7 linked regions of the Mus musculus genome follow. The protein of the gene in region 4 interacts with the protein of the main gene of each other region in a pairwise test. Links are inferred from orthologs where the notes say so. Each region holds a gene or a part of one and is shown on either strand. Other genes may lie near its edges.

Region 1 (4,120 bases), on a different chromosome or scaffold from region 4:
CCTCCCCATGCATGCTAAGGCATATACACCCACACCCCAATAAACAAATGCAACTTTACGAAAGGGCACAAGAACACAACCACTCATATTTAATATTCTCAAATATATGAGAGTCTGTGAAATAAAATACCAGTTCTGTTCTGGTGGGGCTCGCAAACGACCCATCTGCAGCATGCCACTTTCAGTGCTATCTGTAATGGTCTCACCGAACCCAGGTTAAGGACTACTACTTCTACTTCACAGGTAATCAAGGTTTAGAGAGTCGCCCGTATCCCACAGCTACTAGTTAACAGTGCAGGATTTGAAGGCAGGCACTAAATATGATTGTTATACCAACTATGCAATAATGATAAGCTTGTGTTTCAGCAAACACGGTGTGTGTGATGCAGTCTAACTGAGCAGACAAGCTGACTTGGAACTGAACTCTGATGACTTTAGCCACTCGTTTCTAATATTCGCATATATATAGTACTCTATGACATAAAACGATGCCCACTCTTTTCTGGTGGGGTTTGTAATCCAGTTAAGGACCCACATCTATTGGTGTGTGTGTGTGTGTGTGTGTGTGTGTGTTGGTTTTTTGAGACAGGGTTTCTCTGTGCAGCCTATACTTTATCTAGTGAGTTTTAGGGAGTAAAGAACATACTCTGATGGCAAAGGTCTTCCTTTTCCTAGCTTCTTGCCCAGAAAGAAGAAACCTCTAAGACCAAGGATTGAGCTACCTACCTGAGGCTTCCTAATGCATCTGTGAGGTGGGGTGGGGAGCCGGGAGTGTCTCTGAAGGCACCTTTGTCTTCGTCTTGGGACTGGGGTAGGAGGGGAAAAGAGGATCCTAGATAAGGCCTCCTAGTTTGCTATGGAGGAAGACCAGGCCCTTCTCCAGCTGCTTCTCTCGAGCCTCCAGATTCTCAAGCTTCTGATTTTTCCTGAATTCTCGGCGGATGGAAGCAAAGTAGAAGTCTCGATCAGTGTAGCGAAGCTCTCGGCCTTGGCGCAGCAGAGCCCGGTACAGACACAGCACTGCCTCTCGGCTCCAAGGGGCCATGGGGGACCGACGTGTACTAATCGTCACACTCTACAGAGAAGACACAGAAGGCTAGAGTCAGAACTGATGACAGCAGGGCCTGCTAGACACTGTGTGTGTGTGTGTGTGTGTGTGTGTGTGTGTGTCTGAGTTGGGGGGAGGGAGGGATGGCAGGGGTTCTTAATGCCAGACTCAGAGACTTCCAAGGACTCATGGCAAAGCTGGGATCAGCTTCCTCCCTGTAAACAGCCCCTCCTGGAGAAGTTCAGTTTAAGGCTCACCAGGGTTCAAGAAGTAGAGTTTGAGTCCTGGCTGTGCCATCCCACTGCCCGGGCACTTAGCATAAAGTACAGTGGGCATCAGCTTCCTCATTGTAAAACAGAGATAACAAAGACATCATGAGAGTACTTACTACACAAGGTTATTTTGAGAACTGCTCCTAAAAAGCCCCTGTAATGGGACTCTACCAGACAGTGTGGCCTAGAGTAGTTAAAGACCAGGATTTATATCTGGATCCTGGTACCACCATATAAGCAGCATCACGCTGATTGGCCTTATTGTTTTAATTACTTTTTTACTTTTTTCTGTATGGGTATTTGCCTGCATGTTTGTCTACATGCCAGTTTGCCTTGAGAGTGTAACACTGTCATATCCTTAGACTGGAGTTATAATATATACAGTTGTGAGCCACCACAGAAGTGCTGGAAATTGAGCCTGGGTCCTCTGAAAAGCAGCCAGTGCTCTTAACCACAGAGACATCACTCTATCTCTTCTTTCTTTCTTTCTTTCTTTCTTTTTATTCTTTCTGTTTTTGCTTTCTTTTGCTTTTGTTTAATTTGGTTTCCTGATGCAGGGCCTCTCTACGGAGCTCTGGCTGTCCTAGAACTCACTCTGTAAAGCAGGCTGCCCTCAAACTCTGAAATCCTCCTGTCTCTGCCTCCTGAGAGCTGAGATGAAAGATGTGTGCCAAGTATGTGACATCATTCCCAAAAGGAAGTGATTTGCCCACTCACCAAAACAATCCAGACCCTAACTCGCTGGAATGAGGTGGGGGCGGGGGGGGGGGGTGTCTTACATGTGTGCACTTCAGGGCGTTCAGCAAACTTTGCCAGCACAGGGCCCAGGGCTCACCAACCTCAAAACTAGGCTGGAAGGAGGAATCCTCCCCATAACCCTATGAGGAAGAAACAGTTGTTGTATGAGCCTGTATGTGTTTCAGGGGTGAAGGGAGTTCCTGGATGAAAAACAAAAAATGATCTGAACTTTGGGCTCCAAGACAGAAGCAGTAGCCTCTGACCTTGCTAACTTCCAGCGCGAACCGGGGCAAGCCACCGCTGTCCCTTTTTCCTCAACTGCAGAACAGCTCCCCTTTGGCCCTGAGGGTCTTCCGGGATGCAAAAGATGCAGAAAAACAACGGAGGGCTGGAAGGAGAACGTCACGCAGGGGCTGGAACGAGGTCGCTGAGTGACTGACTACGGGCTCCGATCGGGGTACAACGCCCAGAGGACGGGAACGCAGACCCCGGGGCCAGGCTGGCTCTGTGGCTTGAGGCAACCGGGTCTTGAGGCGGGGCGGGGCGAAGCTTGGAGGCCCCGGTGGGAGCCGGTAGCCCCCAAACTGGCCCGAGCTCAAACGGGCGATCCCCGGCCGCCCTCATTCGCTCCCTCACTCACCCGCGGACCACGCGCTACCTTTCCTCAGGACTCGCCACTCGCCCAGTACCTCTCTCCGGGTCACCCATCAACATGGCCCCTCTACTTCCGGGGCACGACCTCGCTCGCGGGGCCGACGGAGACGCGACAGGGAGCGCGGAGGCGGGCGGAGGCGGAAGCACTTCCGGTCGGCCCCTCCGTAGCCTCCCTCCGGAGGCGGAGCCCGGAACTTAGTCCAGCGCTGCCCGTCGTGGGGCCCCGCCCACAGACGCAGCCCCGCCTCCTAGGTGACGTTACCTAGCTCCACGGCCCCTCCTCCGAAAGCGTTACTGTGCAGTCTCTGTGTAAACTCAGTGCTGGCTGGGTGTGGCTTAAGGGAGGAGCCGCAAGTCGTCGCCCTCCACCTGCTGCCTACGTCTGGCCTGCGAGAGGCTCTGACCACACTGAATTGATTACTTGACACACTGCATTTTGTCCAACCCAACCTCTCTGTTTGGTAGACTTCAGCATTCCAGTGTTACACTTGGGAAAATCGAGGCCGAGGGAGGCAGGGTCATTTGCACTGAAAGCTGAGCCCTGCAGAGGCTCACAGTGGGTCCAAGCTCAGTATTCCTCCAAAGTGTGTGGCTTTCCATTCTTTTAGGCCGCCCTACTTTGCTTTTTAAAGAAAGAAGTTTGTGACCCAAATAAATCTAGTTTGTGAAATTTCCAGCTAGAAGACCGGGTAACCTATCCCTCGGGACAGTCTCCTAAGTAGACGAGTTTTCCACTCGTAAAGGACAAGGAGACCCTCTGGGGGAGACCTTAGGATTACCCACTCACACACAGAGTCTCGGATGTCAGGATTACCTTTTCCAGATTCACTAACCTTCCCACACTCACCCCACTCCTGCCCCATGCTCCCAGTATAATGGGGGCTAAACATTAAAGTGTCTTCCAGCCCCCACATATCTGTGGTGTTTTGGAGACCAGAGACCAGCCAGCCGAGACACTGATGCAAACCTCAGGGTTCAGCCAGGTTTCACAGAGCATGGGCAATCTGGGATCCTCTGGACTGGGTACAGGACTGGACATAACTATCAACTCACATCATAAGGAAACAGGACCTTATAGGAATTGCAGCTCAAGGGGAACATTCATTTACCCAGGGCACAGGTTCAGGTACAGTAGGCATTTCACTGGTGAATGGATGGACTGTGTCTTAGTCAGGGTTTCTATTCCTGCACAAACATCATGACCAAGAAGCAAGTTGGGGAGGAAAGGGTTTATTTGGCTTACACTTCCATACTGCTGTTCATCACCAAGGAAGTCAGGACTGGAACTCAAGCAGGTCAGGGAGCAGGAGCTGATGCAGAGGCCATGGAGGGATGTTCTGTACTAGCTTGCCTCCCCTGGCTTGCTCAGCCCGCTTTCTTATAGAACCAAGACTACCAGCCCTGAGAT
Region 2 (3,500 bases), on a different chromosome or scaffold from region 4:
CCTGCCTCTGCCTCCCAAGTGTTGGTATTAAAGGTGTGCACCACCACACCCGGCTAGATTTAGATTCCTAACAGAAGAAAAATATTTAAGACTGTGATATAAAAATCCAACCTAAGTGGGTGGAGATGGTACATACCTTTAATTTCAACAACCAGGAGACAGAGACGGGTGGATGCCTGAGTTTCAAGCTAGCCTGGTCTACAGAGCAAGTTCCAGGACAGCCAGGGCTACACAGAGAAACCCTGTCAAAAAAACCAAAAAAACCCAAAAAACCCCAAAAAAACAAACAAACCAATCCAACCTAAGCTTTTGGCCCACTGTTCTGTTCTACAATGTGTGTGTGTGTGTGTGTGTGTGTGTGTGTGTGTGTGTGTGTGTGTATGCAAGTATTGTGTAGGTCAGAAGTCATTTGTGTGTTACTCCTCAGGCAACACCCAACTTTTATTTTATTTTTAAAATGACATTAATTACTTAGAGTGAGAGAGTACTTGGTTGGGTGTGTGTGGGTGTTTGTGTGTTGTGTGTGCCCCAGCAGCTGTGTGGAAGTCAGAGACAGCATGTGGAATTGTGGGGATTGAACTCAAGTTCTCCTGGTTGTGCACCACGCACACATGTACACAAACACCTTATGACCCCAGGCCTTGCCCTGTAGCAGCTCTGTGTGTCAGTCTCCACCTTTGGGCCAGTTCTGTGAAATAACTAACTAGACCTATATCCCCTGCAGGCTTTCTAGTGACCCTTGACTGATACACCATGGAATGAAATGGAAACTGAACAGGCTGGGTCAGAAGGTCAGGGTTTAGGCGATTGCTCTGCTGCAGATCTGTGTGATCCTGGGGCATTTTTACTAACTTCTACCAACTAGCGGGGTCATTTTCATCCCCAGAAATAACGACAGCATGTAAATAGCATGCTAGATAGAAGCAACTGTTGCAATACTTGGAGTATGATTACATTATTTTTTTTTATTTTGTTTTTTCCGAGACAGGGTTTCTCTGTATAGCCTTGGCTGTCCTGGTTGATTACACTCTTGCTTAAAGCTATCTTCCAAAGTCAGTTCTTGCATGACAATTAAGGCCAAGAAGTGATTTTCTTCCTTCCTTCCTTTTTTTTTTTTAAAGACTTATTTATTTTATGTTTATGAGTACACTGTTACTCTGTTCAGACACACCAGAAGAGAGCATCGGATCCCATTACAGATGGTTCTGAGTTACCCTGTAGTTGCTGGGAATTGAACTCAGGACCTCTGGAAGAGTTCTTAACCGCTGAGCCATCTCTTTACCCCCCCAGCAAGTGTTTTCCTTCTCATTTCCCCTCTAATGTGGCCGTGTCCTCCTTGGGGAAATTAAGCATATTTATTATCATTTTTCCCTTTACCTCTGACAGTGGCTTCTATCTCTTCCATGGCGGCCTCACTTTGGGCGTCTGCGAGTCTTTCATTGATTTCCATGATTTCCACAAGGAACTGACTGTCTGCTTTGTAATCTGTCCCTTCAGGAATTTCTATTCCCTGGAGCTTTAGCTATTGGGGAGGAGCACAAAGAAAAGGAGTTTGGTTAGGAAACATTCAGTGTTAAGTAAATACTGCTCACTCCTTCAGAGTACACGGCACTCCTGGGGGAAGCCTTGAGTGTCAGGTGAAATGGAGCCCAGAGCCTAGTACATGCTAAATAAGCACTGTGTCCCTTCAGAAACTTGAGCTGTCCTAGTAACAGTGAGTGCTGGTATAGGACCTCACTCTGCTGAATGTACCATCAAAGCGATGGTTGGTACCTCACACATCTCAGATGTTAAGTGAGTCTTTATAAACTTTCCCTCCAGTTCTAAAATCGCCTAGATGTCCTTACAAAAAGACTCCCAAGTACTCTTTTTTTCTTTTTTCCTTTTTTTTAGTTTTTCTTTTTCTTTTCTTTCCTTTTTTTTTTTTTTTTTTTTTTTTTTTTTTCCGAGACAGGGTTTCTCTGTATAGCCGTGGCTGGCCTCGAACTCAGAAATCTGCCTGCCTCTGCCTCCCAAGTGCTGGGATTAAAGGCAGGCGCCACTATGCCCAGCCCAAGTACTCTTATCAAATTCATTGAAAATAGTTAAAGCAATAGTTAAAGCACTACAATCAGGGGTGACATTAGGATATGCAAAAGGATCCAGGTCTGGCTTGGTGTGGGGCTGCATCCCAAGTTACTCAGGAGGCTGAGGCAGGAAGATCACATGTCAATTCCAGCCTGGGCAGCTGAGTGAGACTGGTTCAAAAAGTAACAAGGCAGCTGGGGATATAGTTGAGTGGATTCAAAACCTAGTACCATCAAAGCGAACAAGCAAACAAATGGAAGCAAGCAAATGAAAGAAAATCCAGTAATCATCAAGCAGGGGCCATAGCTCAGTTCAGAGTGCTTCCTTAGCACAAGGCACTAGGTTCAATACCCAGTACTGAAGGAAAAGAAAAATTAGGAACGAGCTGGATGTGGGTGTGGTGAAGCAAGAGAATTAATAACCTGGAGCCAGCCTGGGCTACAACCAGTGATGTTTTCTTTCAAAGGAAAATACAAACAAACAAGATGGATTTACAAAGAACACTGATTATTCTTGCATAAAAATTTAAAATTTTTTTTCTTTCTTTCCTTTCCTTTTCCCATCATTTGCTTCCTGGACCAGGCTAGGTCTCATACAGAGGAGTCCCAGACAGATGGGTTGGGAAATCACCTTACAAGATATAGTCCTCTGGTCAGGGGAGCCTGAAGAGTCTTATAGGCATCATTCACCAGGGTGGAGTGCTTGTCAGAGAAGTGTTTTTCAGTCTGTTCACAGAAGTAAAAACAGTTTTATCATTACAAGAGCTGGTCAAGCTGGCGTGTGTTCCGTTATCTGGGAAGCCAGATAAAAGCTGGGAGGAAATGACAGCTCTGGGGCCTGGCTGTCTAGGGGCAGGCTGCCACAGGGTGGAGCTAGCAGCCCAACTCTTTCCCAGAGCAACAGAGCTACCCACCCAGTTGTGCCCATACATGGGGACTATTGGGGGGAGGGTCAGTAAATACCTGAGACTTTTGGCTGAAGAAATCTGGGTGGACAAGCCGCTGCAGTTGCTGGTACCTGTGCTGAAGTTTCGTAACGTCCACCCTGAAGGAGCGGTTGCTGGAAGAAAACCAGATATCATTCATAGTTCCAGCCATTTACTACAGTCTGGTTCTGCTCTCGGGGAGGATGCAATAAACGCGTAAACAAAGGTTATTTTTAAGACCTGGTAGCTGCAATGAAGGGAAACAGAACAGGTTCGGAAGAGGTGGTATAGGTATGACATCAGAGAGGAGACCCAAAGGAGCGAAGATCAGAAAGGGACATGAGCGGAGAGACGACACTGACCTGGCTGGAAGGTCGATAGCTTGACGCATTAAGGGAGGTTAGTGTAATGCATGGTAAACTCTTGGTGACTGAGGGTCTCTATAGGTTGGGCAAGAACTTTAGTGTCAAGCCACTCCCTACTGCCAGGCCTCTTTTTATTTTTTATA
Region 3 (4,174 bases), on a different chromosome or scaffold from region 4:
AAACAGGCTTTGAACTTGTAACTCACCTGCATCAAAATCCTCAGTAGTTAAGCCACAGGCTGTTAGCCAGGCCCTGGGTATCACCAGCTGGTTTTGTCATGTCGTTTTATGTATCTTACTACATTCACATACAAACCATTATTTATTCATATTTATTTTTTAAAAATAGCTTGTTTTTTCCTTAGATAATTAAAAGATACTTGTAGAAAGGCCTAGTATTTTTTATTTTCTGTAATTGTGTAAAATCAAGACATAGTCAATAAGTATTTATTGGATTTAAATGAAATATCAACAAGTTTCCATAGTTAACCATCACATCTGGTATAGACCCAAATCCATGACTGCTGTTGAAATAAGGGACATACTATAGTATTCTACTATTCCTTGCTCTTTAATCTACTTTTATTCTTGTCTACCAGTCACATACAAGAAAGTAGATTTGTGATGACAAAGCATATGGGTTCACTCAGCCAGATGAATCAGATCAATCAGTTTGAACTGGCTTCCTCCTCAGGGGAAAAAAAAAATTACCTTTACTACAGAAGACCTTAGAACTATAAACACACATTCAACACACATATCTGAAAATAGTCACCTCTAGGAAAGACAATGGCATAGAGAAAGGGCAGGAAAGAGGAAACTTCTCATTGTCTGGACTTTTTACCTTTTGAGTTTTGTTCCATGCATGTATTTTTCCTACTAAAACAAATTAATTTTCAAAGATGTAGTACCTAATCTTGGCCTTTTGGCTGGGATCTCATCAGTGTCCACTGCAGTAGAAAACAGAGTGCTGCAAAGAAAGGAGAAGATGGATGTATATAGGCCATACGTGCATTTCTATAAATAAACTTACTCAGCTCTGGAGGTGTGACTCAGTTGTAGGGCATGTGTTTAGCATATAAAAGACCGTGGTCTCTTTACCTAACACCAAAACAAAAGCTCCGTACCACACAACCTTCCTTCTCTTGTGCCCCATGTAGTCGTAAAATGAGATGCAAGGTGCAAAGCAGAGTCCTATTTCTAGACCGTAGGAAAGACTCAACACTCCCTACTACATTATGATGTATAATCTGGCCAAATTAAACCAACACATCATTTGGTTTTGGGACACTGGCCCTAAAGACAGACTTTTTTTTTTTTTTTAATTTCAAGCAACAATATAAGCAGCCTTAAGAGATAAGGTAGTAGTTGGGAGTTGGCAATGGTGTTGCTTAAATGTCTCCCGACCCCTATACCCTGGGCTGGGGATTGAAGACAGGACAGGCACGACAGACAAGCACACCGCCCCTAAGGCACAGCTCTAGTTCCTAGAAAAAAGTATCTTTTAAGACACCAGCCCCCGAGCCGGGCATGGTGGCACACACCTTTAATCCCAGCACTCGGGAGGCAGAGGCAGGCCGATTTCTGAGTTCGAGGCCAGCCTGGTCTACAGAGTGAGTTCCAGGACAGCCAGGGCTGCACAGAGAAACCCTGTCTCAAAAAACAAAAGAACAAAACAAAACAAAATAACCCACGAGCCCCCGAATGTAGTAAAGAACAGAAAGCAGCTAGAAGTCAAGGCTGGCCAGGACACATCCACACTCAGGTTTGGGTCGGCATACTGCTGACTCCGAGGGACTATGAATGAAAATGTGAGGCGATCACCAGTCCCTGTTCGATAAATATGCAGTTTCATTGTGCACCAGATCCAGTTGGGGGAGAATAAACTATTCTTACATAAGCATCAGTTTGAGAACTTTATAACATCTTAACCGATTCTTATCTGAACCCCATGGAACTGTAGAAGCCATGGGACTACATGCTACAGTTTAGCGAACAACCAGTTTCACCAATGACCTACATTCCTGGAGTCATCTATGAATCATTTTGATCTACTTCCCCTAATCCAATCTTTTGTCCACTTCTCTTGACCTGGAAACAAAAATAATCACCATCATCATAATAATAAGTGAAGTAGACATAGCAGAGGAAGGAAAGGGAGGGAGAATGTAAGAGTGGGAGACAGGGGGGAGTATAGAAGTTGTAGAATATTTTGTTTTCTAGATAAACCCTTAAAAGGGAAGACACTGTAAAGTAAATAAAGGAGTAGATGCTAAGTACTAATATTTGTCATTTCCTTCTAATTTTAACCGAATCTTACAAGAGTGCGGTACGTAAATACTTTCTGCCTCTTACAAGGATGTTAAAGAACAGGACCATTCCCTTCCCCTGCAGCCCAACACACACACCCCGACAGTTGCTGTCGAACAAGACAACTGCTGTTCCTCGGTGCGAAGACAACAGCACTCGCAGTCAAACGACTACGGGCAAACTCCTAACCTAGTGACTCGCTCCTGCGCTGTCCGCCCGCGACGACACCGGGCGACAGGAGCCGTATCCGGCGAGCAGCACATCGCCGGCCTCCCGTTCCCCTTCCGCTCGCAGCTAGAGGGACGGACTCTCCCCAGGCCTCCGCGGTCCCGTAGTCGCCGGTTCCCACAGGCCCGCGGCGCCCAACGCCAGCGCGGGGGAGGGGACCCGACCGGCGCGCGGCCACCTTACCTGCTGGAGCGCCGCCTCTTGAGTAGGGCGCGGGCCCCGGGCGCGGGCCGCTCACACAAGCGAAGAATGGTGCCGAGAACCTTAGCCAGCCATCTGTACATTCCAGGCCTGAGCAGCAGCGGCGGCCGACACACCCCGAGACGCGAACCCCAGAGCTGTCGCCGCCGCCGCCGCCGCCGCCGCCGCCGTCGCCGCTGCCGCTGCCGCTGCCGCTGCCGCCTTCGCCGCTTCAGCCGTAGCCAGGATCAGGCGCGGACTTGTGACGCCATCAGAGGGCCCACAGATTTAACGTTCCCCGGGCTAGGGGAGGACTCTCTAGAAGCCGTTGACGTCACCTTCTTCCGCCCAACGGGAAAGCGGCCTCCGGAGTCTGAGCATGCGCAGTCTGGGCCTGCTCCTTGTAAGCCTAGCAACAGGAAGCGGGACGGGGAGAGCGGGCTCTTGCGCGGGTCTGACTGGCAGACCGAAGGGCGGGGCTTTCTCTTTGGCAGAGCCAGTCAGGAGTCGATCTCGGGACAAGGCCCACAGACCCAAACCACGTGTATCGATGCTGGGCCGGGAGAGCTACCCAAGCAACCCGACAGTGGAGGGTTCTGTAAAAGAATGCGCAGGGTGGAAAATAGGTCAGGTTAGTTAATGAGTATGTAAGGGTTTGCGCTTTATTTTGTATATACATTGGTCTAATACTTTACCCGGATTGCCGTCATGTTTACAGCAACCGGACACAGTGGGGAATTTTAGGAATGTCATAAAAACCAAAGGTATATAGCAATTAAACCATGTGCCTAAGAAAATGGAGCTAACCACTAGCATTTGAGCCAGTCTAACTATTAGGGCTCATTCCGCACGCATACGTGCAAGTTTACTGGGAGAGACATTTTCATAGATACTTATAAATTAGAATACAAGGTCACCTGCTTATGTGATAAATGATTGTAATGCGCAATGGAACTAGAGAAAGTTAAACCAGATGCTGGGGAGTGAGTAGGGCAGACGGACACGACTTCTTAGGAAAAGCTTCCGAGAAACAGGGACTGAATGATTCCTGTGGCCTTTTCTAATCAGCTTGTCTCTTCCCCTCAGCTGTCAGGTAGCAATCAATTCTCATTATCCTCTCTGGGAATGTATACACTTTTCTTTTCTTCTCTTCTCTTCTCTTCTCTTCTCTTCTCTTCTCTTCTCTTCTCTTCTTTCTTTCTTCCTTTTTGTTGTTTTGTTGTTGTTGTTGTTGTTGTTTTTTGAGACAGAGTTTCTCTGTATAGCCCTGACTGTCCTGGAACTCACTTTGTAGACCAGGCTGGCCTCGAACTCAGAAATCTGCCTGCCTCTGCCTCCCGAGTGCTGGGATTAAAGGAAAACCATTAGAAATAAATGTCTAAATAATATCTCCTATGGACTTAAGCATAATGTCTGGGAGTGCAGTCCCTTGAAGTATTAAAAACAGTCTCAAAGCCGGGCGGTGGTGGCACATGACTTTAATCCCAGCACTTGGGAGGCAGAGGCAGGCAGATTTCTGAGTTCAAGGGCCAGCCTGGTCTACAGACTGAGTTCCAGGACAGTCAGGGCTACACAGAGAAACCCTGTCTCAAAAAACAAAAACCCAAAAAACAAAAACAAAAACAGTCACTGCTGG
Region 4 (4,221 bases):
AGAGCCTGGCCTTAAAACCTCGCCCCGAAGCCAGCATTCTCTCCACTGTCAGGATCTCCAAGGTCAAAGGCAGGGCAGAGGGAAGGGAAGTTTAACTTAGAAAAGGGTGGGTCAGCAGAAGTCTAGGGGCCAAGAGGATTAATTAACCTTTGTTTGGGGCTATGGACTGTGGTTCCGTGGTAGAAAACTTGCCTGGCCTGTGGTACCCTACCACAGGAAAACAAAACAAGCCTTTGTTTACCACTCCCAAAGGAGGAGGGGCTGGGGATGTCCCAGACCTCAACTTAAAACATCCCCGTGTGTCCTGTGCAAACATTTGGCGGCCTATTAGACAAGGCAGTAGGATGCCCCCAGGACAGCTAAATTCAAGGGCTACCCAGGAGGAGAGGCAGGTCCTCTGGCAGACTTTGGAGTCAGACCATGGAACAGATCTTAACACATAAACTTGGGCAAGTCTCCATACATACAACGGCCACCTGCTCTTCAGCGCAGCAGGGACTCTGTGGTAGAAGTGTGTCAAACACTCAAACACAGCAGGCCGCATCGCTGCCCCCCCCCCCCCACTGCTCCTCCCAGGGCTTCACAAGTCTAGTCCAACCTGAGCTGCTTCAGTTTAGCTCCTGCTTAAGACAAGCAAGAAGCCCAGTTAGGGACCCGACTTCTTTCACAGAGCCTGGGCCAAGTGCTGAGAAGAGCTGGTGTCTTTTTAAAAGACAGAGAGGGTGGACTGAAAGGGGCAGCCAATGGTGTCCCAGCTGCCTCCCATAGGGACACCAGATCTTGCAGACAAAATAACACAACACCCAGCCTCATTCTGAATTTCAGATTGTGAATGATTCAGTGTGTCCCCAATCCTGAGACACATGGTACGACTTTGTCCTTGATGCGAAGCCCAAAAGTGACTGGGTGTTACTTCACAACCCCTAGCCTGGGCACTGCCCTTCAAAGCCTGCAAAGCACACATGATCTCAGTGGAGGGCCTAGTGTTTGTATGCTGGGCTGGAAAGCCTGCTATCTTACATTTGTGATGGATACACTGTACCTATCAGGTTCTAAAAGACGATGTAGGCCATCAAAACCAAAGTTAGCCCAAAGCAACAATACCAGGAAATGCAAACCACTGGAGCTGAGTCTTTGGGGGTTCGAATCCTGACTGTACCACTTATTTCTTGGGAGACTCGGACAATTTCCTCGTATGATCTAAGCTGAAGTTTGCACCCCGATAAAAGAACACGGCTTCTCTAGGTCAGGTATGGTGGTGCACACCTTTAATCCTAGCACTCAGGAGGCAAAAGCAAGCAGATCTCTTGTCAATTCAAAGACAGCCTGATTTCTATAGTGAGTTCCAGGCCAGCCAGAGCTAGATAGCAAGTCCCCCAACTCTAAACAAAAACGACAGAGTACAGCTTCAGCTTTTTCAGCGGAGGACGGAGACTAAGAAAAACAAGCAACACAGGTTGGGGATACGGCTCGGTTGGTGGAGTGTTTCCTTATCCTGCAGGAAGCCCTGGGTTTCATCGCCACTACTGTGTAATCCTGGCACTGGAGAGGTGGAGGCAGGAGGATCAGAAGTTTGTGGCAATCCTCAGGTACACAGTAAGTTCAAGGCTACACAGTAAGTTAGTACACGAGACCCTGACTCAAATGAATAAAACATATCAGCCCATAAACATCACATTTTTCTCACCTGTTCCTGCGTTTTATTATTATTTGTTAGTGTGTGGTCCTGGGATGGAACCCCAGGCCTGGGGTGGGCTACTCAAATGTTCTACCATTGAGACTTGTGCTGTCCTCGTAATTATTCCAGCAGAATAAGGCAGAGCCTGACCTCCAGACTGCCTCCAAGTCCTGCCTGTAATTCTGTCCCTAGATAATGGATCGCTCAAGCCCATTCCTTTGCTCCAATCTCCCTCCTGCTGCTAGCCAGCAGTTTAGGAATGGGAAACCGGCCAGAGCAAGTCACAGCCCAGCCCATATGAAATCACACAACTGCTCCAAAGCACCTCTATCTTCCGGCCCTTTCCTCTCAGACACCAAAGGGTGCTAAATGGCTTAACACCTGGGAGTCTTAGGGTTTCACGGAGCTGGCACCAAAGGCCCAAGATGGCCGGTTTACTTCCAGGTCCACACGGTTCTGGCCGAAGCTAAGTGGCCAGCACCTCTGTTGCAAATGAGGAGGGCTGAGAGAGAAAAAGAACTTAGGAAATGAAGACATCCTACGCAGCCCCGCTGCCCGGAGCTCAAAGTAGCCTCTGGGGTTTTTGATTTTAGGAAACCTCTTAAGTTCCTGCTTCTTAATTATGAAATAAGGACGCTGCATGTGGAAATTAGGGAGAAGCAATTGTTTGGGGACAGCGGATTTCTCCTAACTTGAGCCAGCACTCAGACAGACCCCCCCCCCCGAACTGCACTGACCTCTCAGAAGGATAGATGTCCCTGTCCTGCTGTGGGGGACACCAGGAGCGCAGGCCCGGGCGGTCCGGTGCCCGTGCCAGCCTGGGTCTGTCCGGGAGGGGCGGCCCTGTCCGTCTCTGTCCCCAGGTGTCCCTCTCCGTGTCCGCCGCCTCCTCCCCGGGGCTCTGGACCTTCCCTTCTGCTCCGACTCCGTTCCCCAGGTTCCTGGACCCCCGCCCGCCCCGGCCGCGCGGCCACCTTCAAGTTCACGGCAGGCAGCTCCATCCCGACCCGGCGGAGGGCACCTGAGCGACGGCCGCGGGGACTCCTGGGCTCCGAACTCGGGAACAAACTTCCTGGCCCCGCCCGTCGCGTTGCGCCAGTTCCAACGGCGGGAGGCCAACTCGCGCGGCCACGTGACTGCAGCCGGTTGCTAGGAGACGGCGTCAGGCAGCTGCTCTTGCTGCTAGGCTCAGGCTCCTGCTACTACTACTGCCTAGGCCTCTACCAGCTCCTGTGCTTCAAGCCAGGAGGTCGGGATTTCTGCAGCCTAGGGGCTCAACGGGCTGCCTAAGTGGGATCGAGGTGAGGTGGTGGGACGACCTACAGCCAGAGGAGCCTGGGGCAAGCGGGCAGAAACTGCGGGTGTGGTAACAGTTGGTGTCTGCCCAGAACATCCTCTCTCCTCTCTTACTTCCCTTGCACAAGAATTAGAACAGTGCCTACCTCATCATCTTTGTGAGGATCAGTGAATGAATTCATGTCCATAAAGATAAAAAGTGAGGGTTGGAGAGGATTCCGTGATTAAGAGCACATGTTACTACTTTTTCTAGGCTTGGGTTCCCAGAACCCACATGCCGGCTCACAATCATGTACTTGTGATACAACCACCCTCTTTTGTCCTCCGCAGGCTCCAGACACAAGTGCATATACACACACAGGCAGGTGAGACATTCGTATACACAAGACAAAAATAAATAAATCTGAAAAAAAAATCGAAGCTCTGTTCTTACTGTATTAAATTTTCCTTCCAAGCTTATTGGATTTCAAGAGAATTTCATAGAATACATTAAAAAGAAAGGAAGGAAGGGGAAGTCGAGGCAAAGATATAATGATATCAAAGCCTGCCTGGCTTATAAAGTAAGACCGTGTTTATGTCTTATTGATCTACTTAGTGGGGTGGGTGGATGCATGCCACAACATGAGTGGGGAGGCGAGAGTGTGGATGGTTCTCCTTCCATCCTGGGTTCTGAAGCCAGGGTAAGGAAAGGGAGACAGGACCTGAAGTCAAGAAAGGGGCTTTCCAGCTGATGGCTGAATAGCCCCCACCACAAGGGAAGGAGAGGCTGGAGGACTCTAGAGCCCAGCAGTTTAAAGCCAACCTGGGCAACAGTGAGACTTTGTCCAAAAATGAGGGGGTCAGGGCTCAGTGTTATAGCATCTGTTTACCAGCATCTGTTTACAGTACCAGCATAGCCTAGGTAAAGTTCCAAATGATCAGAGCTGTGCCGGGTGTCAGTGGCTGATGCACACAAGCTCTAGTACCACCAATATATGAGGAGCCAGCCACTTGGAGTCCACTTGCCCAACATAGCAAAAGTTGGAAGACATTCAGTCAGGACAATTAACAGGAAGTCTCCCCTGCTGAGCCTTCAGACATGCTGAGAGCTCTCAGGAGGCGGGAGCTGCCCAGCCTGGGCTGGTGGGTGTGACTCCAGAAGAATAGAAGCCATATGGGAACCCATGAGACCCCCTGAGTGGACACAAGATGACATCTAGGTCACAGATCCCCAGATAGGACTTTTCTTCTGGGAAGATGAGAGAAGT
Region 5 (3,500 bases), on a different chromosome or scaffold from region 4:
GGACTCTGTCCTTCCGTGAATGGTTCTTCCACGTACGCAGTACGGCAAAGACACTTAAGTGCTTCACTCGAATTTGATAGGAGTTTGGAGAAGGTGTCATCACAATGGCCTGGAGATATATGTAGTATGGAAAGGCGCTCCCCCAAATGAAGGGCACACAAGCAAATTCAACTATTTAAACACACAAAGATTGAAAAGAGCAACATAGTGAAACTCATGATTTCCTTCTTTAGCTAAACTAGGGTTTCAAGCTAATTAGGTTAGTGGCATTAAATAAAGCTTTAATAAAACATGAGAATGGCAAAGGTTTTGCTTGATTTTCTCTTTTACTACTTTAATTTGTTTAAAAGCACAAACAGCTGTGCCTGCAGTAACTCGCTAACAACAGAAGTAGTGTTCCCTTTCGTTGTCTTAATAAAGTATTTGCCCTTTTGATGCAAATGATTTGACTGTGCTATCTTAACAGCTGAACTAGTGGCACAAGATTGATGGAATATTTACTGCAGCAAGGTCCTTGTAAATCAAAATCTGAGCTTTACATAAAAATCTTATTTATAAAAAATATAATACCAAGTACAGTGAGAATGGAGCACGGAGCTGTAGTGCTCCCTGCCAGGGCCATGTGGAAGTGGCTTTTGCTACAGTGCTTGCTTAATGGCACAAGTGAAAAGCTGAGTAAGGCAAACACTTGAAGAGGCAGTTTTCTGTAAACTTCTTGGGGTGGGGCAATCTCCTCTCTTGGGACAGACACTGAGATGGCTAAGATCAGAAGGTGTGACACTTGGCTGCACCTGACACATCACAGACTGAGACAGTTCCTGCTGGTAGATGAGACCAGTTGGCTTGCTTTAGGAGAGAGGATATCACTGTAGCCTTCTGCTTTGACTGTTAGAATGTGCAGCATTCAGCTGGTAGCCCCCATGGAAGAAATCATCTAAACCTTTTCCTAAGTGAAAAGATACAAAATAAGCTAAGTCTTTAGAAAACTTTCCTTAGCTTAAAGCTCCGTAAGAACCCTACATCAATTACTAAGCAACTTTGTTAGCAGGGTAGCTTGACACAAATGCTGTATATTATTCCCACCCACTTGGTACCTAATAGTAATAAATTGCAATGACACTTGAAAAAACAAACTGATCTTGAGCAAGTTTGGCCTCTTCTCATGTCCTCACTTGGAACTTCCCAGCCTTTGTGACATATTTGACTCCTTTAAATGGCTTATACTTCTCACCATACATGTCCAAGCGGTTCACTTTTAAGCCTGTGTCAAAAAGAATGAAACGAATCATTACTACCAGAGTAATAATGCAGTACTTGTGTAACAATGAACACTGTGCCTTAGATGTGACACTGCACAGTGCTCCATTCATCATGTGGAAACAACATCCCTTTTCTATCCCCCACATGCTGTACTCTAAGGAGCATGGCCTTGGTTAAGATGCCTCTGCTCACAAAACTAGCTAGTTCCACTTTCTTTGAACACAAATGAGGGCTTCTCTGGCTCTTAAATGAAGGTGAGGTGAGGTATGTGTGACAGAAGAGCATGAGGTTAAGTTGTGTTCTCAAATGGCTGCTGTCTGGAGCTGCTGTTCCTTCTAGGGTAGAGCTGTTAGTACTCTTCCAGACTCCTAGCCCCAATCTCCCCTCAATGCCCAGCAAACACGTGTTACCTGAAATAGCAAGCTGCTGGATCTTGAACTGTATGTTGAGGTTTGGGTTCTCTTCTGGCTTGGGTGCTCCTGACTGTAAATTTACTAGTCCTTTAAGACTTGGGAGCTTTTGTGGAGTAATTTTGCCCACATCCCATGCTAGTACCTTAAAAACACAAGAGAAAATACCTGAGCTGTGTTAAAGACATGCTCAGAGGTCAACAGATGCTATACACTACACAAAATGAAGCAGTGTCTTAGAAAACAGAAGCCAGGACTACACAACTGGCTTATGTTCTAATCACTAAATGTTCAGTTACAGAATCCACAGCAGAATCATGTGTGTGGGGCTGAGTAACAGACAGACAGAAGGATGACTCCAGCTCAGCTGGAAGGTGAGGATGTGGACTCGCCTGCTCACACCTCACACTTAAAGGGTCCCAGAAAGGCTTTTTTTTTGTTTGTTTTTTTGTTTTTGTTTTTTCGTTTAAGACAGGGTTTCTCTGTGTAGCCCTGGCTGTCCTGGAACTCACTCTGTAGACCAGGGTGGCCTCGAACTCAGAAATCCACCTGCCTCTGCCTCCCAAGTGCTGGGATTAAAGGCGTGCGCCACCACGCCCGGCTCCTCCATTTCAAACACAATCCAAACCAAACCAAAACACCTTCTCATTTATCAAGTACTCTATTCTGCTGAAAACTTACATTTCCTACATAAGGAAGCAAGGGAGCGAAGAGAAAATCATCTTTTCTAGGACTCTGAAAACCCTTGGCTAGAGTCTTGTTTAAGCAAGGCAAGGACCCTGCTTCCTAAGTACTGTGACCTCCACCCACAACCACAAAATAGATTGCAGAACACTTGCTCATTCTTGTTTCGAAGTGCCTGTACCTTGGTCACGGGATCAAATGTATAGCTGCCTTGCGTTGGTGTCAGGTTCATATTCAGCACAACTTTGGGCATGTGAACAGTCACTGTGATTCCTTCAATTGTTTTTCCCATATTCTGTTTCGGTCCAATTGTTATATCAAACCGGCCACAAGAGCTGTTTTCCTTAAAGCTGATACTGTGTTTCACATACACTGGTATTGCCACTAGACTAAAAAAAAGACACAAAAAGGTACAAAAGTACATTATGAAAGGTATGGGACAACTCCAGATGTAGTGTATGTCCTACGAGGTCTGTAACTGTGCCACAGGACCATATGCCCTAGCAGATTAGGCCTATGCACTAGGGTTGAGGACAGCAATGTTCTGGTACCAATGTGCTAGAAATGTATGGGTTAGTAACAAATACATAAGCCCAAACAGAAATCTCCTCCAAATATCACATAAACAACTCGGATAAAGGGATACAGCTAAAAAAAAAAAAAAAAAAAAAAAGGAAGAAAGAAAGAAAGAAAGAGAAGAGCCCATTAAAAGAATTTAAAGCACTAAGAAATATTTTCTCAGAAAAATGTTTCAGTTTTGTCTAATCACCCAAATGCTTTCTGGAATTTTAAGGGACACGTCAGCCCCAGCTGACAACAGTAAACTGTTTAAAGCTCAATGCAAGATGAATATGGTGGCACATATCAATGATCCTAGCACCCAGAAAGCTGAGGCAGGAGGATCCACAGTTTGAGGTAACAAATAAGACACTGTTTTAAAAACAAGAACCACTTCAACCTCCCAAACTCAATGTAGAGAACAGTGACTTGAAGCAGGTAGTTTAGGGGATGTTTTAGGGTATCCTGTCTTGTTTGTTTACAGACATAGCAGACTAAGGCACTGAGTTCATGGTTTGCCCAGGTCACGCACAGTCCAAAGGCTTGGTCTTAATCATAGATTTTTAACTTACTCTCTCTTACTACTTC
Region 6 (4,257 bases), on a different chromosome or scaffold from region 4:
TTTTGTAACATAATTGTAACATAACATAAACTACCTGTGGACATTCACTTATAAACATTGTACACTTATAAACAGTACTAGAAAAGAATCATACTCCTTTTTTTTAAGTGAAAGATCCTGGGCATACAGAGGTTAAGTGTATGTACCCCCCCAGGATCTTACAGCTCATGCCTTTATAAATGCATGAAATATAAACATTCCTGAGCCCCCAGTGGTGACTATTTGAGGCCAGGGTCACACATATACTAGGCAAGTGTTCTCTCTGAAGGATCCCCCCACATCTCTAGATATCTCTAAATGAGAGATCTAGAAAAATATAAATTCTTAGAGATTAACATGTCAATCTTCATTAAAGGTTGGAATTTTAGGCCTCAGAGGGTCTCCTCTTTTATAGATTAGGAAACTAGAGCCAGAAGTCACATCGTAGCTGGAAATTAAATGCCTACTCAAATTGGCCATATTGCACTGTACCCTCAAAATCCAAGTGACATATACTCACAGAACCAAGGAGGCTTCCCCAGCCAAGGGCACCGTCAGATCAATGCCATTGCCGTTGGAAGACAGCTTAGCTTGAAAATCCAGGACTTTGAGATTATTGATTTTCAACCTGCCCAAAACACACACACATGCCTTCTTGTCCTGCGTCTTTGCAGCATTTGCACCTCTTGTCATCACCCTCCTGTCCCTCCTACATCCTGTGCAGAAGCGTGAGACTCCACACTCTCAGGCACAGTGCACTCAGCGAGGGAAACTATAGGCAGCAGAGACAGAACCTGAATCCAGGACTATGTGACTCAGACCTCCGTAAAGCCAGTGCTTGGGACTGGAGGCTATGAATTCTAGCTAGCTGTCCCTTGAAGAAACTTAGATTTTTACTATATTTGAAAAAGAAATGTGTTTTCATGAGAATGCCTTTAGGTACCAAGATTCATGTGGAGATGAGATCAATGGAATGTTCAACTTGAGCCTTAAGTCACTGACTGTGGAAACCCGGAGGTATGAACTGTCTACACTGGCCCTGTAGCCCTGCCTCAGACATACTCGACTTCTAATGAACCTTGCCTCAGAACTCCTCAGCTCTGTGGGGGAATAAGAGGCTTATCCATCTATTGTTGATATTGAGTAGTCAGATAGTCCCTTCCCCAGAAGCAAAGAACATCAACTCACAATAAACCATTCAAAGATGTAAAGCTTTTTAAATTGCCAAGGTCCGCTGTGTTCAACGTTTCTAGAATGCTGTTCTTGGCTAATGGCCAACTTGTGGCTTGCTGAAGCAACTCCACATCCAGATTCAGGTTCTGAGGGACAGCTGTCAAAAACAGTCATCAGTCAGTGTCCTGTACCACTAGGGAGTGGGCTTCCATCCTCCTGGTTTCAGAGAAGTCAGTTTCCCTGTGCTGTGTCATCAGTCCCTGCAACAACCCAGTCAGGACAGGATTGCCAGTCTCCTTTGTATAGATGAGGAACCTGAGCCTCCTAAGGTTAGGAAAAGTGTCTACACAGCTGGATCCATGCACTGGGATAGGGGACTTCTTGTCAACAGCTACTATAATTTAAAATGCAAACCTTTTAAATTTTTGGAATCTCACTTTTAAGAATTTATCCTGTGCCAATATATATTGGCAAGTCTCTTAGGGTAACATCCCAGCACTGTTTTTTTTTTTTTTTCTAAACAGATAGGGGCAACGCAGGAGTTGAATAGCAGCACATTTCTCAGTGTACCACCCACAAAAGACAACACCACCCTCTCCCAGCAGCCTCTGCAATTGCAGGCATGATACTTATTAGAGTTTCTCCTGGGACCAGATAGCTGAAGGAACCTATATTAACTCACCTTCAGAGGGAGGATTCAGAATTTTCAAATTATTCACAGCGCTGCCAAGTTCACCAAGAAGTGACTCTGAGTTCCCAATGAGCAGGCCACACAAGACAACAAGGCTCCCAAGTTGGAACATCTTTGGTTCTGACAAATGGAGAGTCATAGCAGGAAGAAGAAACAAAAACCCACAATTAGTGCCTGCCTCTCTCACGCTTGCCTTTCAACAAGACAGTTGCACTTCTCTTCACAATAGGTAAGAAATGGAGCCAGGGGATATGCCTGCCCTCAGGAGTGGATGAAGTAGGGCCCAGTCTGCAATGGAATTTTATTCAGCCACAATGAAAAATGAAATTGTGGCATTTCAGGAAATGGATGGAACTGGAAGTCATTGTGCTTAGCAGTTAAGAGAGGCAAAATAACCTATTTTCTGTCATCTGCAAATGAGGTTCAAATGTGTGTGTATCTATAACATAATATATTCATGTACATATACATATGCAACACATTCCCTGCCTTGCCTGCTCACTTTCCTAAGCTATAATTCTGTTTAGATGTTTCAGCAAAACTTCACACCTTCTATGAAGCCAGCTTCAGACCCCCTCCCCAGAGAGCACATCTAGGTTCCCCACTGCCTTTCTCCACCAAACTTGGAGCAGCACAGTCCCTAGGGGAAATAGCTATCTCTTCTGTCATTATTGAGCCTACACTCCAGTAGGAAGCCTTTCTCTATACACTAAGACAAGTCATTGATGAATAAAATCTGATCCCTAAACAGAACCCACATGAGTCTAGGTTGTTGTTAGTCTGACACAATGTCATCTATGTCTTCAAATTTGTTAGAGTCAAAACTTTACCAACACAAACAGTGCCTTCCCTCTGCTTCTTGCCCCAAAGCCTCCTGTGGACTCTCAGATGGGAACTCAGTTTAGTGGAGTCACTACTCACTGCTTTGAAGAAGGATGCACACGAGAGAGATCCTTGTTTCTCTGCACGATCTCCTGGGATTCTAGGGTGACTTATATTGTGGTCCCAGGATGAGAATCAAGCCCTATTTCCTGGATGTTCTAAAGATACTCCAAAGAAAATATCTAAGGTTAGCCAAGATATTCCAACCCAAAGGTCACCCAGGATGCTTGGGTGACAGTGATGGACCTTGTGCCAAGTTCAAAGCCCTATGTTGTCAAACTTGAGACTGCCAACAAGGGGTCAGTTCAGTATTGTCTAGAAAGAAGATCCAGAATGAATCAATGGAAGAATGTTCTGTTGGGTTGGCTCGAAGTATTTGCCTAAGCTAGCCCAGTCATTTTTTGAGAACTCATTTAAAAAAAAAAAAGCCAGCAGCTTCTGTTTGTTCAATTGTGGTTCTCAGGTGTCCCAGACCACCCTTCCTATGCACCTGACCCGTGTCCAAGAGCTTCAACCACCTCTGCTGGAGTGAGCCAGCCTCTGTGAGGGGCCAATAATGACATTCCTCACTCTTTCACTGACTCAACCATCTGTATTTTAAACCAGCTTTCTAGATGATTTTGTTTAATGCTGCCCCAAGGCTATTATTTCTCAAAATAGAAAATTCCAGCAATTCTAAAAATAAAAGGAGGGGAAAAGTAGGTTCATGGTCACTGTGCTGAGGAGGGTTAGTCATGAAAACAGCAGGACTGGGGGAATGATTCACATCTGTCCTACCTTGACATTGGCCATGACTGTAGTGTGTCTCTGTGAGCCACATACTACCAATGGATTAGCAGTAGATGACATGTGAATTCACAAGCCAGGATGTCTGTGGTCCAAAGGGAGGAATCGAGTTCCCCTGGTTTCAGAATAAACCATAGAAGCTAGGGGGGAATTATAATCTGAGGTGAAAACTCAGCAACTCCATCTAGGGTGGGGTATTGCTAGATCCAGGTTCCCAAATGATTCCATGTTCTTAATACTGGCTTCATTCTCTGATGAACTTTACCAGATAAAGTAACTGAAAACGTTTTGGTGAAGGGGGTGTGGGGGTGTGTGGAGACCCAACTCCTATGTGGGTAGAGAGGTGGTGCATTGCCATCGGTGAGGAGCTAAAGTAATACTCTGATGGAGGCTCCATTGTCTAGGTAAAATGTATGTGAGCAAGATGTGTCAGCCAACAGGCACTTGCTCCCCTGGAATAAGGACCCATGTTTGTTCTCCAGAGTCCGAGGAAAAGTAGGAGGGGACAACGCCTGATAGTTATCCTCTGACCTCAACGTGTACGCTATCATATGTGCACCTGCACTCACACACGAACAACACACACACACACACACACACACACACACACACACACAAATAAGAAACTGGTAACTCTCAGGTCAACTAGACTGTGGCCTCTGAACAAAGTAGATGTGTCGTCTCCTCAGGATATTGGGAACAGAAGCAGCAGGACTGTGTGTCTCACGAGTGACCTCCAGCTCACA
Region 7 (4,115 bases), on a different chromosome or scaffold from region 4:
CCTAGGTGCTTGACCTCTGAGGGCTAGGTCAATGCCCTCAGAGACCTGTGCTGAATATTTGAGAAACCTAAGATGGAGGCTTCTGCAGGGGAGAGTAGGGGACAAACCGGATACTTCGTTTGGAAGGATGAAAGCCAGCCAGGAAGGATGCAAATATGAGAGGAATGGAAAGAAGTTGGGCCAGATACTCAGAAAATATTTCTCTCCTTCTCTCTCTCTCTCTTGATAAATAGGTCTCTTCTGGACATAGTTTCTCTGAGGCCTGACACTGAAGCCCTCAGAGATCACAGGCCTGAGGGCAGTAAGTGACCTGCTTTGTTTACACAGAAAAATGCCAAAGATCACAAATGTTGGGGTTAGGGTAGTGGCTCAATCAGTAAAGCGACTGCGGTACAGTCAGAAGGAACTGAGTTCGGATCCCCAACTTTCTTTTCTTTTTCTTTTCTTTCTTTCTTTCTTTTCTTTTCTTTTTTTTTTTTTTTTTTTTTTTTCGAGACAGGATTTCTCTGTGTAGTCCTGGCTGTCCTGGAACTCACTTTGTAGACCAGGCTGGCCTCGAACTCAGAAATCTGCCTGCCTCTGCCTCCCGAGTGCTGGGATTAAAGGCATGCGCCACCACACCCAGCTGGATCCCCAACTTTCACACAAAAGCTTGGCACCATGGCTCAGCCACCTGTAACTTCTCAGTGCTAGGGGCTGGGGGACAGAGAAGAAAAAATCCCTAGAACTCACTGGCTAGCCATCCTAGCAGAATCAATGGGTCCCAGGCTCAGTACCCTACCTCAAAATGGTAAGGTAGAGAGAGATAAAGGAAAACACATTTATCAGTTGCCTTCACCTGCACTTAAAACACAAGTGAGGGCTGGAGAGATGGCTCAGCGGTTAAGAGCACCGACAGCTCTGCCAGAGGTCCTGAGTTCAAATCCCAGCAACCATATGGTGGCTCACAACCACCTATAATGGGATCCGATGCACTCTTTTGGTGTGTGTCTGAAGACAGCTGCAGTGTACTCATATTAAAAAACAAACAGCCGGGCGTGGTGGCGCACGCCTTTAATCCCAGCACTTGGGAGGCAGAGGAAGGTGGATTTCTGAGTTCAAGGCCAGCCTGGTCTACAGAGTGAGTTCCAGGACAGCCAGGGCTACACAGAGAAACTCTGTCTCGAAAAAACCTCCCCCAAAAGAAAGAAAGAAAAGAAAGAAAGAAGGAAAGAAAGAAAGAAAGGAAGGAAGGAAGGAAGGAAGGAAGGAAGGAAGGAAGGAAAAACAAAAACAAAAATCACATGTGCATGGAGCCATGAGCCCCTAGGTCTCCTCAGGAAAGAAGGCAGAGGGATGTTAAAGCACTTCACAGGAGCTGAACATGTACTAACATCAGTGTTAGAGTGCTAATTCACATACATACATACATACACACACACACACACACACACACACACACACACACACACACACACCAGTTTGTTTCTTAATTCTCAGAAGGCACTTAGCTCTCAGAACCTGAGAGTTCCAGCCAAAAAGACATCTTCCAACTTGTCCGTCCAACTTCTTCTCAGGGGGGCTGTCTTTTGATTGGGTGCACAGGGTTTATCTGTTTAGCCCCAACTGTCCTGGAATTTACTTCATAGGCCAAGCTGGCCTTGAACTCAGAAACCCTGGCTCTGCCTTAAAGGTACACACCACTACTCTCATCGGCCTTAGTAGTGTCTTTTAAACTTAGTAGTGTTTTCTGAGACATATTCCTCTTTCTGCCGTGCCTCCACTATTCCTTTCCAAGACCACAGCCTGCACAATAATACGGACAACAGGCTTAGTAGTTTGCCCTTCCGTGCGGTAGAGCAGGATAGGCGATGTGCATACCTACTGGACGCAGAGGATACCACCATTCACCTTGTTGCACAGCCAACTCTCCCAGCTTGGCCTTTCCCCAGCAAGCTCCTGCAGTCCCCTCCGTGTCTGGTCATATTAGATTTATTCAGCCAACTCTCTCCTGCCAACCCCTTTCCCAGATCTTGCACTGAAGACAGATGAAAAAATGGGCCCAGAAGTGGTAATGACTGAAAGGAGGAAGGAAGCCGGGCAGTGGTGGTACAGGTCTTTAGTCTCTGCACTCAGAAGGCAGAGTCAGGCAGATCTCTGTGATTTCAAGGCTAGCCTGGTGTACAGAGCGAGTTTCAGGACAACCACAGCTACAGAGAGAACCCTGCTCCAAAAAGTAGAGGAGGTGGTGGAGGAAAAGAAGGAAGGAAAAGAAAACAAAGGAAGGAAAGATCTGTTATACTCAGTGCCCTGTGGACCCCCAAACGGTCCCCACATTTTTCACGGGAGTTAATACAGCTGAGAGAATGCCCTAGCAGTATTCAGCTCTATTCCTCGGGTGTACTGTTAAAAAGCCTCCACTCCTGGCTCTGTGTACCACATGGGACGCATACAGAATTCTGAACTAGAATTTGAACTCAGCCTGGGACTCCTGTGGCTATGAGCAGCAGCCCCAGATCCCGGGCAGGCCTGGCTTTTCCCTTTGCCTAGGTGGTAGGGTAGTGTGTGTGAGGGCTACCCAGAGTGGGGTCAGCCCCTGCCAAGCACTGCAGAACTCCCAAGTTCCCTTCTCGGGACTGCCCAGCCCCCTCTCTTTTCGGAATGCTGCTCGGGGTACCTGAGAGCGCGGACACTCTGCAACTTCGAGTTCGGCCGAGGGCGAGAGAGCAGCGTCCGGGGGCCCCGCGCCCCCAGGCTCGCGATACACAGCCTCCCGAAGCGCAGCATCCCGTGATAGACAGCCATGGCTCGCTTCCGCCGCGGGTCCGGGCCGGGAGTAAACTTTGAAAGTGAACGAGGCGAGGGTAATTAAGAAGCGGACGGGGAGGCGGGAGGGTCGCTCTGCCTATGGGGTGAGGAGGACTGGGTCCCCGCGGGGCGGGGCGGGGCGGGGCGAGGAGAGGCCGGGAAGTGGCGACTCGGTCCTGGCCACCTTTGCGTGGGAACTGCAGCCCTTCAAGCCCGCCCTCGAAGTCCCGCCCTTGTCCCCCCTCCCCCTCCCGGGGCTCCCAAGACCGGCTCTGCAGCACAATACAGGGCCTTCCTGCAATCATCACTCTAACTTTGGAGGGCCTAAGAGTTTCATAAACGGGAAAACAATCAACAGTCTATATAGAGCCAGATGACAATGCCTGGACTGGTTGGTCCCACGTGCCCAGTAGGGCTTGGGTCACGTGGGGACTTCCTGGGTGCTGAGCTACAGGCCAAAGGAATCTGCCCCGAGTGCCCCTGAGGCCTGCCAACTGGAGCAGAGGGCCTCTGGGGAGAGGAAAGGTAGTTGGGACCTACCGCTCTGATGGGTAAACCCCTCTGTATTCGGAGACCTCCGGGGACCAAGGTGCTAGTCTGGCCAGAGGCTAAGAGTCAGCTTTACTTCGACCTTGCATCCTCCCCACGACTCTGAGAAGAGTACCAGGTAGACAAGATTAGGTGGCATCAGGGACGCGTCTGTTGTATCCTACCTTCCCTCTTTCTGCTCTAGCCTGAAGCCTTAAACACAATTTCCTCAGCTGCTCCCCTAGGCTCCAAAGGACCCTGACTTTGTGACTCAACCCTCTAGCTGTGCCCTTAGGAATGTATTCTAACGTCATCCAAGGAGGATGGGTGACAAGATCTACAAGAGGTGAGTGCTCAGGCTGTGCGCTGGGTGTCCAAAGATGAGTACACTAGTCCTCCACTTTCTAGCTCCTCGTTGTCCTGAACGATCTGGGAAAGAAGAGAAGAAAGGCCCCCGGCCGGGTGGCTTCCCTTCTCCTGACTTGGAATGAAGAAAGCCAGGCAGAGGAACAGTTGGCGGAGGGTGGAGGTTAGCCTGGTGAACCTTTGCCTTGATCTGGTTCAGCTGGGGTCATGACTAATACAGCTACTCCTTCTCTGATCTCCAGAGTGACCAGATATCTCTCTCTTTCTCTCCCTCTCCCTCTCCCTCTGACAGCTTTTTGGAAAGAATCTGTGTTCCGTTGGAGAACAAGTCAAGAGGAGAGACTTTGAAAAGCTGGGCTTGAAACGGCATGATGCCCTCCAAATCAAATGTATACAGTGGTTTCAGACAGCCAGGCCCAGGGAGTGAAGGGTGC

The links.
Region 1: the proteins of Agtrap (region 4) and Mief1 interact in binary tests that used the Homo sapiens proteins (3 or more experiments, as listed by UniProt). The two-hybrid records come from large-scale screens. The link is inferred for Mus musculus from reciprocal best matches to the Homo sapiens genes AGTRAP and MIEF1.
Region 2: the proteins of Agtrap (region 4) and Hscb interact in binary tests that used the Homo sapiens proteins (3 or more experiments, as listed by UniProt). The two-hybrid records come from large-scale screens. The link is inferred for Mus musculus from reciprocal best matches to the Homo sapiens genes AGTRAP and HSCB.
Region 3: the proteins of Agtrap (region 4) and Senp2 interact in binary tests that used the Homo sapiens proteins (3 or more experiments, as listed by UniProt). The two-hybrid records come from large-scale screens. The link is inferred for Mus musculus from reciprocal best matches to the Homo sapiens genes AGTRAP and SENP2.
Region 5: the proteins of Agtrap (region 4) and Ap3m1 interact in binary tests that used the Homo sapiens proteins (3 or more experiments, as listed by UniProt). The two-hybrid records come from large-scale screens. The link is inferred for Mus musculus from reciprocal best matches to the Homo sapiens genes AGTRAP and AP3M1.
Region 6: the proteins of Agtrap (region 4) and Bpifa2 interact in binary tests that used the Homo sapiens proteins (3 or more experiments, as listed by UniProt). The two-hybrid records come from large-scale screens. The link is inferred for Mus musculus from reciprocal best matches to the Homo sapiens genes AGTRAP and BPIFA2.
Region 7: the proteins of Agtrap (region 4) and Acsf2 interact in binary tests that used the Homo sapiens proteins (3 or more experiments, as listed by UniProt). The two-hybrid records come from large-scale screens. The link is inferred for Mus musculus from reciprocal best matches to the Homo sapiens genes AGTRAP and ACSF2.

Annotation. Positions count from the first base shown.
Region 1 is NC_000081.6:80,232,760-80,236,879, reverse strand, and holds the start of Mief1 (mitochondrial dynamics protein MID51), read right to left. Parts: upstream 2,801-4,120; 5' UTR 2,699-2,800; intron 2,447-2,698; exon of another isoform or gene 2,322-2,446; intron 2,199-2,321; exon of another isoform or gene 2,100-2,198; intron 1,076-2,099; 5' UTR 727-1,075; intron 1-726. UniProt on the Homo sapiens protein: Mitochondrial outer membrane protein which regulates mitochondrial fission/fusion dynamics.
Region 2 is NC_000071.6:110,833,278-110,836,777, forward strand, and holds part of Hscb (iron-sulfur cluster co-chaperone protein HscB isoform 1 precursor), read right to left. Parts: intron 3,127-3,500; coding exon 3,030-3,126; intron 2,793-3,029; coding exon 2,703-2,792; coding exon of another isoform or gene 2,698-2,702; intron 1,523-2,697; coding exon 1,378-1,522; intron 1-1,377.
Region 3 is NC_000082.6:22,008,110-22,012,283, reverse strand, and holds the start of Senp2 (sentrin-specific protease 2), read right to left. Parts: upstream 2,801-4,174; 5' UTR 2,643-2,800; coding exon 2,542-2,642; intron 2,520-2,541; exon of another isoform or gene 2,394-2,519; coding exon of another isoform or gene 2,320-2,393; intron 791-2,319; coding exon 732-790; exon of another isoform or gene 684-731; coding exon of another isoform or gene 665-683; intron 1-664. UniProt on the Homo sapiens protein: Protease that catalyzes two essential functions in the SUMO pathway.
Region 4 is NC_000070.6:148,085,265-148,089,485, forward strand, and holds the start of Agtrap (type-1 angiotensin II receptor-associated protein), read right to left. Parts: upstream 2,801-4,221; 5' UTR 2,680-2,800; coding exon 2,653-2,679; intron 1-2,652. UniProt on the Homo sapiens protein: Appears to be a negative regulator of type-1 angiotensin II receptor-mediated signaling by regulating receptor internalization as well as mechanism of receptor desensitization such as phosphorylation.
Region 5 is NC_000080.6:21,035,443-21,038,942, forward strand, and holds part of Ap3m1 (AP-3 complex subunit mu-1), read right to left. Parts: exon of another isoform or gene 3,485-3,500; intron 2,744-3,484; coding exon 2,536-2,743; intron 1,816-2,535; coding exon 1,671-1,815; intron 1,262-1,670; coding exon 1,161-1,261; 3' UTR 1-1,160. UniProt on the Homo sapiens protein: Part of the AP-3 complex, an adaptor-related complex which is not clathrin-associated. The complex is associated with the Golgi region as well as more peripheral structures.
Region 6 is NC_000068.7:154,006,819-154,011,075, reverse strand, and holds the start of Bpifa2 (BPI fold-containing family A member 2 precursor), read right to left. Parts: upstream 2,801-4,257; 5' UTR 2,765-2,800; intron 1,964-2,764; 5' UTR 1,956-1,963; coding exon 1,835-1,955; intron 1,310-1,834; coding exon 1,168-1,309; intron 608-1,167; coding exon 500-607; intron 1-499. UniProt on the Homo sapiens protein: Has strong antibacterial activity against P.aeruginosa.
Region 7 is NC_000077.6:94,598,987-94,603,101, forward strand, and holds the start of Acsf2 (medium-chain acyl-CoA ligase ACSF2, mitochondrial precursor), read right to left. Parts: upstream 2,801-4,115; 5' UTR 2,785-2,800; coding exon 2,657-2,784; intron 1-2,656. UniProt on the Homo sapiens protein: Acyl-CoA synthases catalyze the initial reaction in fatty acid metabolism, by forming a thioester with CoA. Has some preference toward medium-chain substrates. Plays a role in adipocyte differentiation.